2 linked regions of the Macaca mulatta genome follow. The main gene of each other region encodes a partner of the protein of the gene in region 2 in a complex. Links are inferred from orthologs where the notes say so. Each region holds a gene or a part of one and is shown on either strand. Other genes may lie near its edges.

The links.
Region 1: the proteins of SSTR5 (region 2) and CORT are in contact, whole or in part, in a cryo-EM structure (PDB 8X8L), measured with the Homo sapiens proteins. The link is inferred for Macaca mulatta from reciprocal best matches to the Homo sapiens genes SSTR5 and CORT. Residues at the interface, in NP_001044.1 of Homo sapiens: Tyr89, Leu96, Gln99, Asn100, Ser103, Asp119, Gln123, Glu182, Thr185, Cys186, Asn187, Ala188, Trp190, Gly198, Phe201, Ile202, Thr205, Phe264, Phe265, Asn268, Asn271, Glu279, Ala283, Tyr286, Phe287, Val290, Tyr294; in NP_001293.3 of Homo sapiens: Cys93, Arg94, Phe96, Phe97, Trp98, Lys99, Thr100, Phe101, Ser102, Ser103.

Annotation. Positions count from the first base shown.
Region 1 is NC_133406.1:230,285,460-230,291,465, forward strand, and holds CORT (cortistatin), read right to left. Parts: upstream 3,380-6,006; 5' UTR 3,292-3,379; coding exon 3,193-3,291; intron 2,077-3,192; coding exon 1,858-2,076; 3' UTR 1,794-1,857; downstream 1-1,793. UniProt on the Homo sapiens protein: Binds to all human somatostatin receptor (SSTR) subtypes. It also inhibits cAMP production induced by forskolin through SSTRs.
Region 2 is NC_133425.1:2,257,192-2,263,269, forward strand, and holds the start of SSTR5 (somatostatin receptor type 5), read left to right. Parts: upstream 1-2,159; 5' UTR 2,160-2,862; exon of another isoform or gene 2,863-3,702; intron 3,703-6,078.

The DNA.
Region 1 (6,006 bases), on a different chromosome or scaffold from region 2:
GTCTCTTCCATCACATTATACTTTATTCAACTAGTAATTATGAATATGAGCTCAGCTCGGCAGAAAACAATGGAATGGTCAGCAGTCATTCTCAGGAAGTCCACTCCCCAGTGTCCAGAGAAGAGAATATTCCCATGTCCTCCAGCCAGCCTTTGCTGGTTTTTCCAATAAAGTTTAGCATCTAAAAACCTTCACAGCCAGGCGTGGTGGCTCATGCCTATAATCCCAGCACTTTGGGAGGCCGAGGCAGGTGGATCACCTGAGGTCAGGAGTTCGAGACCAGCCTGACCAACATGGAGAAACCCCCGTCTCTATTAAAAATACAAAAATTGGCCAGGCGCGGTGGCTCAAGCCTGTAATCCCAGCACTTTGGGAGGCCGAGGCGGGTGGATCACGAGGTCAGGAGATCTCCGAGACCATCCTGGCTAACATGGTGAAACCCCGTCTCTACTAAAAATACAAAAAACTAGCCGGGCGAGGTGGCGGGCGCCTGTAGTCCCAGCTACTCGGAGGCTGAGGCAGGAGAATGGCGTGAACCCGGGAGGTGGAGCTTGCAGTGAGCCGAGATCGCACCACTGCACTCCAGCCTGGGCGACACAGCGAGACTCAGTCTCAAAAAAAAAAAAAAAAAAAAAACAAAAATTACGCGGATCATGAGGTCAGGAGATCGAGACCATCCTGGCTAACACGGTGAAAACTGAAAACCCGTCTCTACTAAAAATACAAAAAATTAGCCGGGCATGGTGGCGGGCGCCTGTAGTCCCAGCTACAGGCTGGGACTGAGGCAGAATGGCATGAACCCAGGAGGCGGAGCCTGCAGTGAGCCGAGATCGTGCCACTGTACTCTGGCCTTGGCAACAGAGTGAGACTCTGTCTCAAAATAAATAAATAAAATAAAAATACAAATATTAGCCAGGCGTGGTGGTGTGTGCCTCTAATCCCAGCTACATGGGAGGCTGAGGCAGGAGAGTCACTTGAACCCAGGAGGCGGAAGTTGCAGTGAGCTGAGACCACGCCACGGGCAACAAAAGCGAAACTCCATCTCAAAAAAAAAAAAAAGAAAGAAAGAAAAATTAGCCAGGCATGGTGGCGCATCCTGTAGTCCCAGCTACTCGGAAAGCTGAGGCAGGAGAATCACATGAACCTGGGAGGCGGATGTTGCAGTGAGCTGAGATCATTCCGCTGCACTCTAGCCTGGGTGACAGCTAGACTCTGTCTCAAAAAAAAAAAAAAAAAAAACATTCTGTGAGTAGACTTCATTCCTCCCAAAGCAAATCTGAAGCTATAACCCATGAAAAGAATTGCAACCCATTAAGCTACTAATTAAAACTGGTACCTAACAGCAAGTTCGAGTGTAAGTTTCGCAGGCATGTCAGCATGTTTTCTGTGTAATGTTTTAAAATTAATTTCAGCTAAAACATGAGGAATAATCATTTTGCTTTTTGAGCCTGATGTTAAAAATTTCCTTTTAATGTTAGGGAAATATTTTTTAAATTAGACAATTCATATCAATTCATAAACTGAAATAAGATGTTATTCTGAACTCTTAATTATGTAGCCTTTAACTATTTTATTTTAAATCCAAGACAGAGCTTCCCAGCACCATAATGAACGTCAGAAGGAAAGCCCAGTGCCTGCACTTAGCATGGTTCAGTCAAACCACAAAACAATCTTTATCAAAGATGTTCACTTTGGGTTCCAAATTACTTAAGACATGTCAGTATTGGGCATTATTGGAATTTAAATAAAAAACACTTTTCAAGTGACTTGGGAAGGAGGAAAGGAAAGATCGCTGCTGCTTAATACATTTTATTCAGGTCTGTCATTACACTTGCGTGAGTAATCACGGGTGAGGTTTTATTTGCAGGAAGAGAAGGTCTTCCAGAAGAAGTTCTTGCAGGGCGTTCTGTCCCGGCGTGCGGATTGCTGGGGGGGTGCGCCTTCCTGCCGCCTGGCCACCTCCCTGGCTTCCTCTCCTATGAGGGGCCCGGCACTGGCCTGGGAGGTCCACTCAAACCACCAAGCGAGGAAAGTCAGGAGGCTGCTTTTCCTTATTCCTGCCGCTTCCTGCATATGCTTTTAAAGAGAAGCAGATGGCAAAGGAAAGAAAACTCAGCAATCTGGCTCAGGCAGCAGGCATTCGAAGATATGCAATCTCCTCACAAAAAAAAAAAAAAAAAAAAAAAGATCTACTAGAAGACTACCCTGGAGAAAAGAGAAAGAAAATATTAAAAATAAATAAATAAAAAGAAAAAAATGAAAAGATACTCCACAGCAATAAGCCTCGTTTCCACTTAAAGGATGAGGATGAGAAAGTGAAGCGAACGAACGCCTTAAATAAATTGCTCTAATTAGAGAACAGGAAAAGTTGGTCATTTTAAGTCAAGGAAAAAAACCTGGTGGTTTTGCTCCACACTCTTTGCTAAGGTCCTTAATTAGGAGACGTCAGGAAATCTGCCATTTTCCCCCCAGTGACTGGCGGCTGAGAAGCCCCAAGGTGGATCAGGCTAATTTATTCATTCTCCCACCTTTGGCCACACTCCTGGATGTCCACAAGTTGCTTTCTGAGACGATGGGACTGAAACGTTGAATTCTGGTTTTTCAAATTCCTTAGAAAGCTTCTGGGAGTAATCTGCTGATAAATGGCCTGCCTGAAACTCATCTGATAATTTTAGAGAAAAATCCATTTTTAATGCTCAACTTTATATACTCTTTCTTGGAACTTTCTCAAAATGGAAAAAAGAACAATCAATCACCTCATGAAGTAACAAATTCTCACGACGGAAAATGTCATGATGCCAGTTACTCTGAGCCAGTGGGAGCCTGCGCTGGGTGTAACTGAAGGCTCTGGAAGGGCTGTCGCAGCTCCACGCCTGCCCTGCAGTGGACCGGTACACTCGCTTCCCCTTTCCCAGACACCCGATGGAGGGAGCCCTGGCATGAAGGGTCCTCCTTGAGCTGCACAGGTTTCCAGCAGGCTTCATGGGTTGGGACATGTAACTGAGGATCAGTGATCTGAATGTAACATCCCAGTACCTCAAGCCAGCCAAGATCACTACAAAGCTCAGCCCTGTGTCCTGTCCAAGCTGTGAACTGCAACATACGTGCACACACACACTCACCATGCAGGCCAAAAAGCCAACAAGAGACAGAGAGTGGGCTAGCGTATGGCCACGTCGGGACTGTACTCACCTCGCTGTCTGGGCCAGTGGGGCTGCCCTCCAGGGGCAGGGCGGCGGTGGCCGTGGCCCCAGAGAGCAGCAGGAGCAGGAGGCCGGGGGGCAACGGCATCTTGTGGGCTGACGGGAGCTTCTCTCACACCCTGCTGCTGCTCTTCCTTCCTGGCAGCCCTGAAATCAATGTTTTGGGAACGTGGGTCTCTTCTTTGGAGCTTGGTGGGTATTTTAAGCCCAATCTCCAGCTGTTTTTTGTGTCTGTACATGTCTAACGCCTGGATCCTCTTCCCTCACGCAGTGACGCAGAAGCTGGAGCAATCAGTGCCCACAAAAGCGCTTTAGGATTGGCTCTAACTCCTTAATTAAAGCTTCAGGTCTTTTCCTGTGTTTAGAGCGAATTTGCTCTTATTTTGGAACGCATGTGCGCTCGCTGCTGGAGAAGTTCTGCTTCCTCGTAATTATGCCTATAGTAGGCAGGAAGCCGTGAGAACAAAAACAAGTGATTTAACATAATATAAAATTAGCCTTGGATAAGGAGCTTGAATGTGAAATTGTGCCCATGTGAAAGTATGACTGAAACTCATCCAGTAATTTCAAAGACATTCTTCTACTACGGGCAGAGAAACAAGGAGGCAGTGGGAGCTCAGAGATGCTACGATAGTATCCGCTGGTTTCACCAAATTGTTGGCAAGGAGGCCCCAAGAATCGCTCCCAGTACTGCCTCTCAGCCCAGCAGGCCAGACCCACCGTCCTCTAGGCCAGGCCTTCTCAAACTGAAGTGCAGACGATCGCTTTGCAGGCAGGTCCTGATGCGCTGGGGCAGGGAGGAGTTGAGAGCTGCATTTCCAACAAGCACCCAGGTACTGCTGGCCCCAGGGCAGCCGCGCTCTGGCCCACTCGGCCTGGGGTGCAATGGCACACCCAGCTCACTGCATCCTCTGCCTCCTGGGTTCAAGCGATTCTCCTGCCTCAGCCTCCCAAGTAGCTGGGATTTCAGGCACCCACCACCATGCCTGGCTAATTTTTGTATTTTTAGTAGGGACAGGTTTTCACCATGTTGGCCAGGCTGGTCTCGAACTCCTGATCATCCAGTGTTTTCTTTTTTTTGAGATGGAGTCTCGCTCTTATTGCCCAGGCTGGAGTGCAATGGTGTGATCTCGGCTCACCGCAACCTCTGCCTCTCGGGTTCAAGTGATTCTCCTGCCTCAGCCTCCTGAGTAACTGGGATTACAGGCATGTGCCACCATGCCTAGCTAATTTTGTATTTTTAGTAGAGACAGAGTTTCACCACGTTAGCCAGGCTGGTCTCGATCTCCTGACCTCGTGATCCGCCCACCTCGGCCTCCCAAAGTGCTGGGATTACAGGCGTGAGCCACCGCGCCCGGCCCGGTCCAGTGTTTTCTAAACTGCTCCTGACCACCGCTTGTGGGTCACAGGCCAGTACTTTCCTTTAGAATGAAATTGAAATTAGTGTGCATCACCCGTAGTGAGGATAAATAATGATTCACATTGTGTGTGTCGGGTGTGAGACGTATTGTTACTGCAGGGCACAGTCACAGTTTGGGAAGCAATGCCCGGCCCTGCCCTCAGCCACCTCCCAGGGCTCTCTGTCCTCCCAAGGCTGGCGCCACTGCTGAGAGTGCAGACCGTGGAGTCCCTCCCTGTGCTACCTGCTGGCTCTCCCGCACAGGCCCTCATGGCTGAATCACACAGACAAATGCACAGACCCCTTCACCCAACTGGACACCGAGTAAAATCTGGAACATCCACCCAAACCTACTAGAGATGACCAACATCCAAAGCAAGGCTGTAAATTGAAGTAACACAACCCAAAACTGATGGCACTTTCTAGAAGTGAACATATTTGTTTTCAGTTTTCCAGAGTCCTGGTTTACACCTTCACGGGGGAAATCTCAATCTTGAATTTGTCACAGTCTTTTTGCTTATGTTAAAATCCTAGGTAAGATCAGCATGGCCTGCTGGCCAGAGACTTATATGTCGTATGTTGCTTCATCTGTTATTTCTGTACCAAAATTCCTATAAATGACACTAAAAATCGAGTTATACTTGCAGATGAGACATTCACAGCAGTTCAGCCAGCTTCTTTTTGTTTTTGAGACAGAGTCTCGCTCTGTCACCCAGGCTGGAGTGCAGTGGCACAACTTCAGCTCACTGCAACCTCCACCTCCCAGGTTCAAGGGATTCTCCTGTCTCAGCCTCCTGAGTAGCTGGGATTACAGGCACGAGCCACCACACCCAGCTAATTTTTGTATTTTTAGTATTTTTAATAGAGATTTCACCATGTTGGCCATGCTGGTCTCAAACTTCTGAACTCAAGTGATCCACCCATCTCAGCCTCCCAAAGTGCTGGGATTACAGGCATGAGGCCACCACACCCGACCTCACCAACTTCCTATATCGTTAGTCTAGTGTGCCAATTTTATTCCATGAGCTCATTAAACATTCTGAGCACCCAGCATGGAACTTGCAATACCACAAGGGACCCATGCCACCCACACCCCGACAGAGGTGTTGCAGCCTAAAAGAAATAGGATACATGGACACAAATGAAAGACAAGGACATTTTTCAGTGCGATAAGAAGTGTGCAAAGAAGGGGAATGTGCTGCAAATTGGGGAAGACGTCATGAGAACTGATGACTGTTTCAAGAAGGTGGCAAACTTTGGGAGGTGGAGATGAGAGGATCACTTAAGCCCAGGAGTTCAAGACCAGACTGGGCAACATAGCAAGACCCCATCTCCACCAAAAAACAAAATTTAGCAAGGCATGGCAATGCACACCTGTAGTCCTGACTACTTGGGAGGCTGAGG
Region 2 (6,078 bases):
CCGGGCCCAGAGCTGATCCCAGGCTAGGAACGGCCGCAGCAATCGTGTTGGCGTCCACCACGTCCCTCCCAGGGCCTGGCCGTGGGACCAAGGGGACGTGTCTGTGGCCTCTGTGGCCTGAGTGTGGAGGTCAGCACCCAGTGGTGTGACAGTCCTCGTGGGGCAGCGAGGTGACCGGGTCTCTGTTGGGTGCCCCTGGAAGGCTCAGAGGCAAGGATCTTCAGGCAGAGAGTTTGGGGGTGGCCCCAGGAAACACCCGTCATCGAGGGGGTGCTATGAAGTGAAAGGGTGGGTGCCAGTGGGCAGTAGTAAGCAGGTCACCGCTGTGGGCAGATGCACTCCGTCCCCCGGAGCCCCAGGCCGCAGCACTCTGGAGCTGTCCCTACCATAGGGAAGTGGCTGGGCTGTGGTGGCTGTGCCCCGGGGCATTGACTCCCCAGACTCCCGGCTGTTCCCACGCCCAGGCCAGGCCTCCTGTGGTCAGAGACGGCCAGAGTCACAGGGGTTGTAGGAAGTGGCCTCAGGCACGGTCAGGGGCAGGCAGCATCTGCTTCGAGGGCCTGCGCGTGGCTTCCCTGCCCTCGCCAGCCTCTGCCGTGTGGGTCCCGGGAAATTGGCGCTTGATTGCATGAGCGGCCCTGGGCTCCAGTGCATTGGATCCTGCAGCACCGCTGTGGCCGTGGGAGGTGCTGGGGGCAGGGCTGACCCTGGGGCCTAGCTGGTTCCTCCCCGCCTGATGCCAGAGAAGGGAAGTGCTGAGCGTGTGAGGGGGTCAGTAGGGGAAGGGGGTGCAATGGGGTGGCCAGGAGCAGAGACCCCACCCCCCGAAGCACACACACTGGCCGCGTCTGAGGGGAAAGGAGCCCAGGGAGGTGGACGGGGCGGGCAGGGGTTGCCTGTTGCTGGCCTGGACGCCTGGGGGGCATCGTGCTGTCCTTGGGGCTGGCAGACTTCGGACCCCCAAAGCTCACAGCGCCAAACGTGACCCCCCCACACCAGGCGGCGGCGGCTAGAACTGCGAGGGGAGGCAGCGGCTGCCCGGATGGGGAGGTGCTAGTCCTTTGACGAGGAGTTTGCACCTCATTCAAGTCCCCCACCTGGATCCCTGGTGAGGCATCTGGGGTCCAGCCTGGCAGGGGCCCCGGGTTTGCGTCTGTGGGGGTGTGGCCTCTGGGGGAGGACAGACCCTGGTGGGCACTGGTCACAGCTGAGCCGCCGTCAGGGCCACAGCCTTCACTTGCCTCAGGTCCCGGTTTCCGTACGTCACCCAGCGCCGTGTTTCTCCGCCAAGGCAGAGCCACGCCCCACCTGCGCATTCATGCTGACTTATTACCGACTCTTCTGAGTGAGAGGAATTCTCTCCAAATGCCCTTAGGCTTTCAGCTTCCAAATGAAATGAAATGGCTGATGAATCACTCAATCTCAATGTATTAGGAAAGATGTACCTATTTGCATCCGATGAGCAAAATGCACTTTTTTATTGATTTAAAAGTTGACTGAGGCGAACAAATCAGGGAAAATGGCTCCTTTTTCATTTCCCTCTGAGCAGCAAATTAAGCAACTTAAAAGAGCTTTGAATGAGTCAACAACAAAACGCCCCTAAATGTGGAAACGTGAAGGGCAAACATCTCAGCCTCGCTCTCGACGCTCACCGAGGACATAGCCTGCCTCCTGCCCTGGGAAGCTGGGGGCTGTGGAGGACCCCGGCCACGTGGACGTCCAGCCGCATCCCAAAGTCTCCAAGGGGAGAGGGGCCCCCAGCAAGCCTGTCTGGATTAGCCAAGATGAAGGGCTTCAGGAGTCATCAGAGATGGAACTGCCAGGCGCGATGGCTCAAGCCTGCCATCCTGACACTTTGGGAGGCCAAGGCGAGAGGATCACTTGAGCCCAAGAGTTCAAGGCCAGCCTGGGCCACACAGGGAGACCTCCATCTCTAAAAATATTTTTTAAAATTAGCCAGGTCTGATGGCACCTGTAGTCCCAGCTACTCGGGGGGCTGAGGTGGGAGGATCGCGTGAGCCCAGGCGTTAGAGGCTGCAGCAAGCCATGATCCTGCCACGGCATTCCAGCGACAGGTGAGAGAGATCCTGTCTAAAAAATACAACAACAGAGAGAAAGGGAGGGAGGAGCCTGCACGGGCTGAACTATTTTAGCGTCCTGGGGCTGCCGTAACGCAGGCTTACACCACCAGAAATTTATTCTCTCCCAGTTCCGGACGCCACAAGTCCAGAAACAAGGTGTGGGCAGCGCCCAGCACTCTCCCTCTGGAGGCCCTGGGAGGATCCTTCCCTCCCCTTCAAGCTCTGGGGGCTCCACACCCCTGCTGCGGCCGACGCTCCAGGCCCTGCCTCTGTCTTCACAGGGCCTGCTCTGTGCCTCTGCTCTGCTCTGCTCTGCTCTTCACGGAGGAACACCAGTGACAGACTTGGGACCCAGCCTCAATCCAGGGTAACCTCACCCCAAGATCCTTAATTACATCTGCAAAGCCCCTATTTCCAAGGAAAGTTGCATTCGGAGGTTCTGGGTGGACATGAATTTTGGGGGCAGGACACTGTCCGGCCCAGTGCCAAGAGCCGCTATGGGCCGGGCCCTTTGACTCTTGCAAGCCTACGACGGCCACAGAGCTGCAAGGAGGAGGGCTTCCTAGAGGAGGTGGCCCAGCTCGTCAGAAAACCAGCACGTCTTCCCCTTGGGTTCTGGGACCAGCGCTTTCAACGATAAATCCTTTGGGGCCAGGCTGATCCCAGCTGAGACCCTGCGGCGCGCCATGCCCGGCCTGGGGCGGAGGTGAGACAGGCCGCGCACCTCCAAGCTTTGACACGTCCTTCCTCCAAAGGGTGGAGGCTCCACAGGCCCCGCACGGTGAGTGCAGGTCGGGGGTGGGCCGTGGGGTTGCGGCCTGCAGTGTTCTCAGGAGGGCACGGGGCTGGGGGCAGCCGAGACGCGCTTCAGTGGTGAGTGGAGAAGCAGCTGGGGGTTTCCTCCGGCGCCAGAGAGAACTGGGTGATGAAGCCTGGGAGAGGCGTGGGGGGCCTGAAGCGCGCCCCGGTGCGAAGGCTGCGCGGTCGGATTCCAGCTTGGCGCCTGCAAAAGGCTGCGCTGCGCCGCCGGGGGAGGGAGGGTCGGAGGCTGCCGGGGGTTGGGGGATGAAGAGCGGGGGGCAGTTTAACGCAGCGAATCCACCGCGGAGGCAGGAACGGCAGGTGGTGCGATTCCCACCAGGACCTTTGCCATAGAAACCCCGGGTTTCTGAGGGGCTGGAGGCGCCGGAGACGTGTCCGCGGAATGGCGTGAACCTGCGGCCGCAGCGGCGGGTCCGGATGGAGATGGGCCGCCCGAGCGCACGCTGCACCGGCTGTTTCCTGCGCTTGGCTCCTGTAGCGGGGTCGGCCCTCGCCCCTGCATTTGGCGGACTTGATGCGGAGCCCGAGCGTGGCTGCTGGCCCGGGGCGGGGAAGGGCCCTCTAGATCGGGGGTCCCACGGCTGGGCTTGGGGGGCCCACTTGGCCTTCTCTGATTGGTCCGGAGTTGCAGGTGGGGCCGCCTCAGGAAGCTGCTGTACCTGCGGGAGCCCGGACGGTGCTGGGGGGACGCTGTGGTTTGACTTCTGGGGCTGGCGGCAGCACGGGTGGGTCGGGGTCTGTCTGGGTTGGGGTCCGCGGCCGCGTGGCGTCTGGCTTGGGGGTCCTCAGCCACATGCAATTTGGGTCAGGGTCGGGGTCTGCAGCTGCGTGGTGTCCGGCTCTCATGGCCCCCGTGTCTGGACTTCGCTCTCCAGCCATTTCCTCTGCATGTTTCCCTGGAACAGGACCTGGGAATCAGGGTGGTGGAGGTGGACACGCCCCAAAACCTGCCAGCCCTGGTCTGTGATGCCTGGATGGAGGGGCCACAGCCACGCTGGCTCCCAGCCTCTTCCCAGACACCCTGGCCCCTGGATGCAGCGTCCACCGTGGGGCGTGTGGTCCCTGAGCACCCCCCACACCCGCTCCGTGTGGCTCTGCATCCCTACCCAAACCTCGTGTGGAAATGGAGTCTGCAGTGTGGTGCTGGGGCCTGGTGGGGAGTGACTGGGTATCAGGGGGGGATTTCTCGTGAATGGCTTGGCCCCATCCCTCCTGGTGCTCTCCTCGAGGTGGTGAGTGGCCGTTTAAATGTGTCCGGCACTGCTCTGTCTCTGGTTCCTGCTCTTGCCATGTGAGACGCCTGCTCCGGCTTCTGCCTTCCAGCAGATTTGGAAGCTTCCTGGAGCCTCTCCAGAGACAGAAGCAGCTATGTTTTCCGTACAGCCCGCAAAGCCTGAGCCAATTAAACTCTTTTCTCTATAAATTACCCAGTCTCGGGTATTTTTTTTTTCGTGGGGGGTGGGAGTGGACAGCGTCTCGCTCTGTCGCCCAGGCTGGAGTGCAGTGGCGCGATCTCTGCTCAGTGCACCCTCTGCCTCCCGGGTTGAAGCGATTCTCCTGCCTCAGCCTCCCAAGTAGCTGGGATTACAGGCATCCGCCACCACACCTGCTAATTTTTATATTTTTAGTAGAGATGGGGTTTTACCATGTTGGCCAGGCTGGTCTTGAACTCCTGACTTCATGATCCTCCCTACCCCGGCTTCCCACAGTGCTGGGATCACAGGCGTCAGCCACCGCGCCTGGTCGCGGGTATTTTCCAGCAGTGCAAGGAGAGACCACCACACCTGGTGAACGCTCCTGACGGCAGTAACTGAGGTGCACCTGGGGGTGCCTCTGCGGCAGACACACCTGAAGGTGGTTGGGGTTCCCAGCGAGGGAATCTGGGAGGAGCCAACCGGAGACCCAAGTCCTCTCTATGAGGAACATCTGAACCCTGGCTGTCCTGTGGAACCCGGGCAATGCTGAGGATTGAGACCCTTTGTTTTGGGTTCAATGGAGGCTGTGGGTGGAGGTTGTTGAGGGAGGATGGAGGCTGTGGGTGGAGGTTGTTGGGGGAGGATGGAGGCTGTGGGTGGAGGTTGTGGGCGAGGGTGCTAAGTGAAAACGCTGTAGGATAGGCGTGCTTCTTGCAGTGGTTGTGGTTTTTGCAGTGGTTGTGGTTTTGTGGTGGTTGTGGTTTTTGCGGTAGTTGTGATTGTGGGTTTTGCAGTGGTTGTGGTTTTTGAGATGTTTGTGGTTTTGCAGTGGTTGTGATTGTGGTTTTTGCACTGATTGTAGTTCTCCTGCCCCGACTGCTGCCGCTGGACCCTCTCCCCCGTGTGTAGCCTCCGATAGGACCCCATGTCTGGATCCTGGCACTGGGTCTCCTCTGGCCTCATGAGACTGGTGCCGTCCCCACTGGAGCCGACAGGGGTTTGGCTCCTGGCTTCCTCCGTCTCTGGACGAGTCAGCAGCTGCTCCTGTGCAGGAACGCCCACGGCCTTTGGCATCACACGGGGTCTGGATCCTGGCTGTGACCCCTCCCCCAGTGACCTCCTGCGGGACTGATGGCCAGAGAGGGGGCCTGTCGGGCCTACAGCGCCCGTCCCACCATCAGCCACCCTGAGTTCTGGGCAGGAGTCCCCTCGCCTCGGTCCTACCCACCCAGAAGGATCCAGTGAGGCAACGCCCGCCTGGGATGCCGCAGAGGTCAAGCCCAGCACCGTGAGGCTTAGTGGCTGCTGGGAGCCATGGCAACCGGATGGTGGCTGGATGGACTCCGCAGGGACAGTCCTCAGACCCCTCTCCAGGGACCCCACCCTAGCTGTGACCTGTCCCACGGCACCTGTACTGTGACACCCTCTTTGCTGTCCATATGGCTATGAGGGCTGCCCTTTGCATGTCCATTCCCGAGTCCCAGCCCTACAGCAGCGATGGGCTCGCCTGGCCCCTCTGTGGACGCCGCCACTGTCTGTACGGTGGGATGTTAATAGTCTCCGCGTCATGTGGCTGTTAATTTTGGAAGCTCGCCCCCTTCCTCCTCCCCCACTACGGTCCTGCCTTCACACCCCACTGCCTGAGTCAGCGCCCACAGCTGTACCGGATGCTGGGTTTGGCCCCAGCTGAAGGGCTGGTGTCCTGCATGCAGGCGGGGTCCTGGTAATGGGGCTGTACCATCTGTGTGAACGGCCTCGGC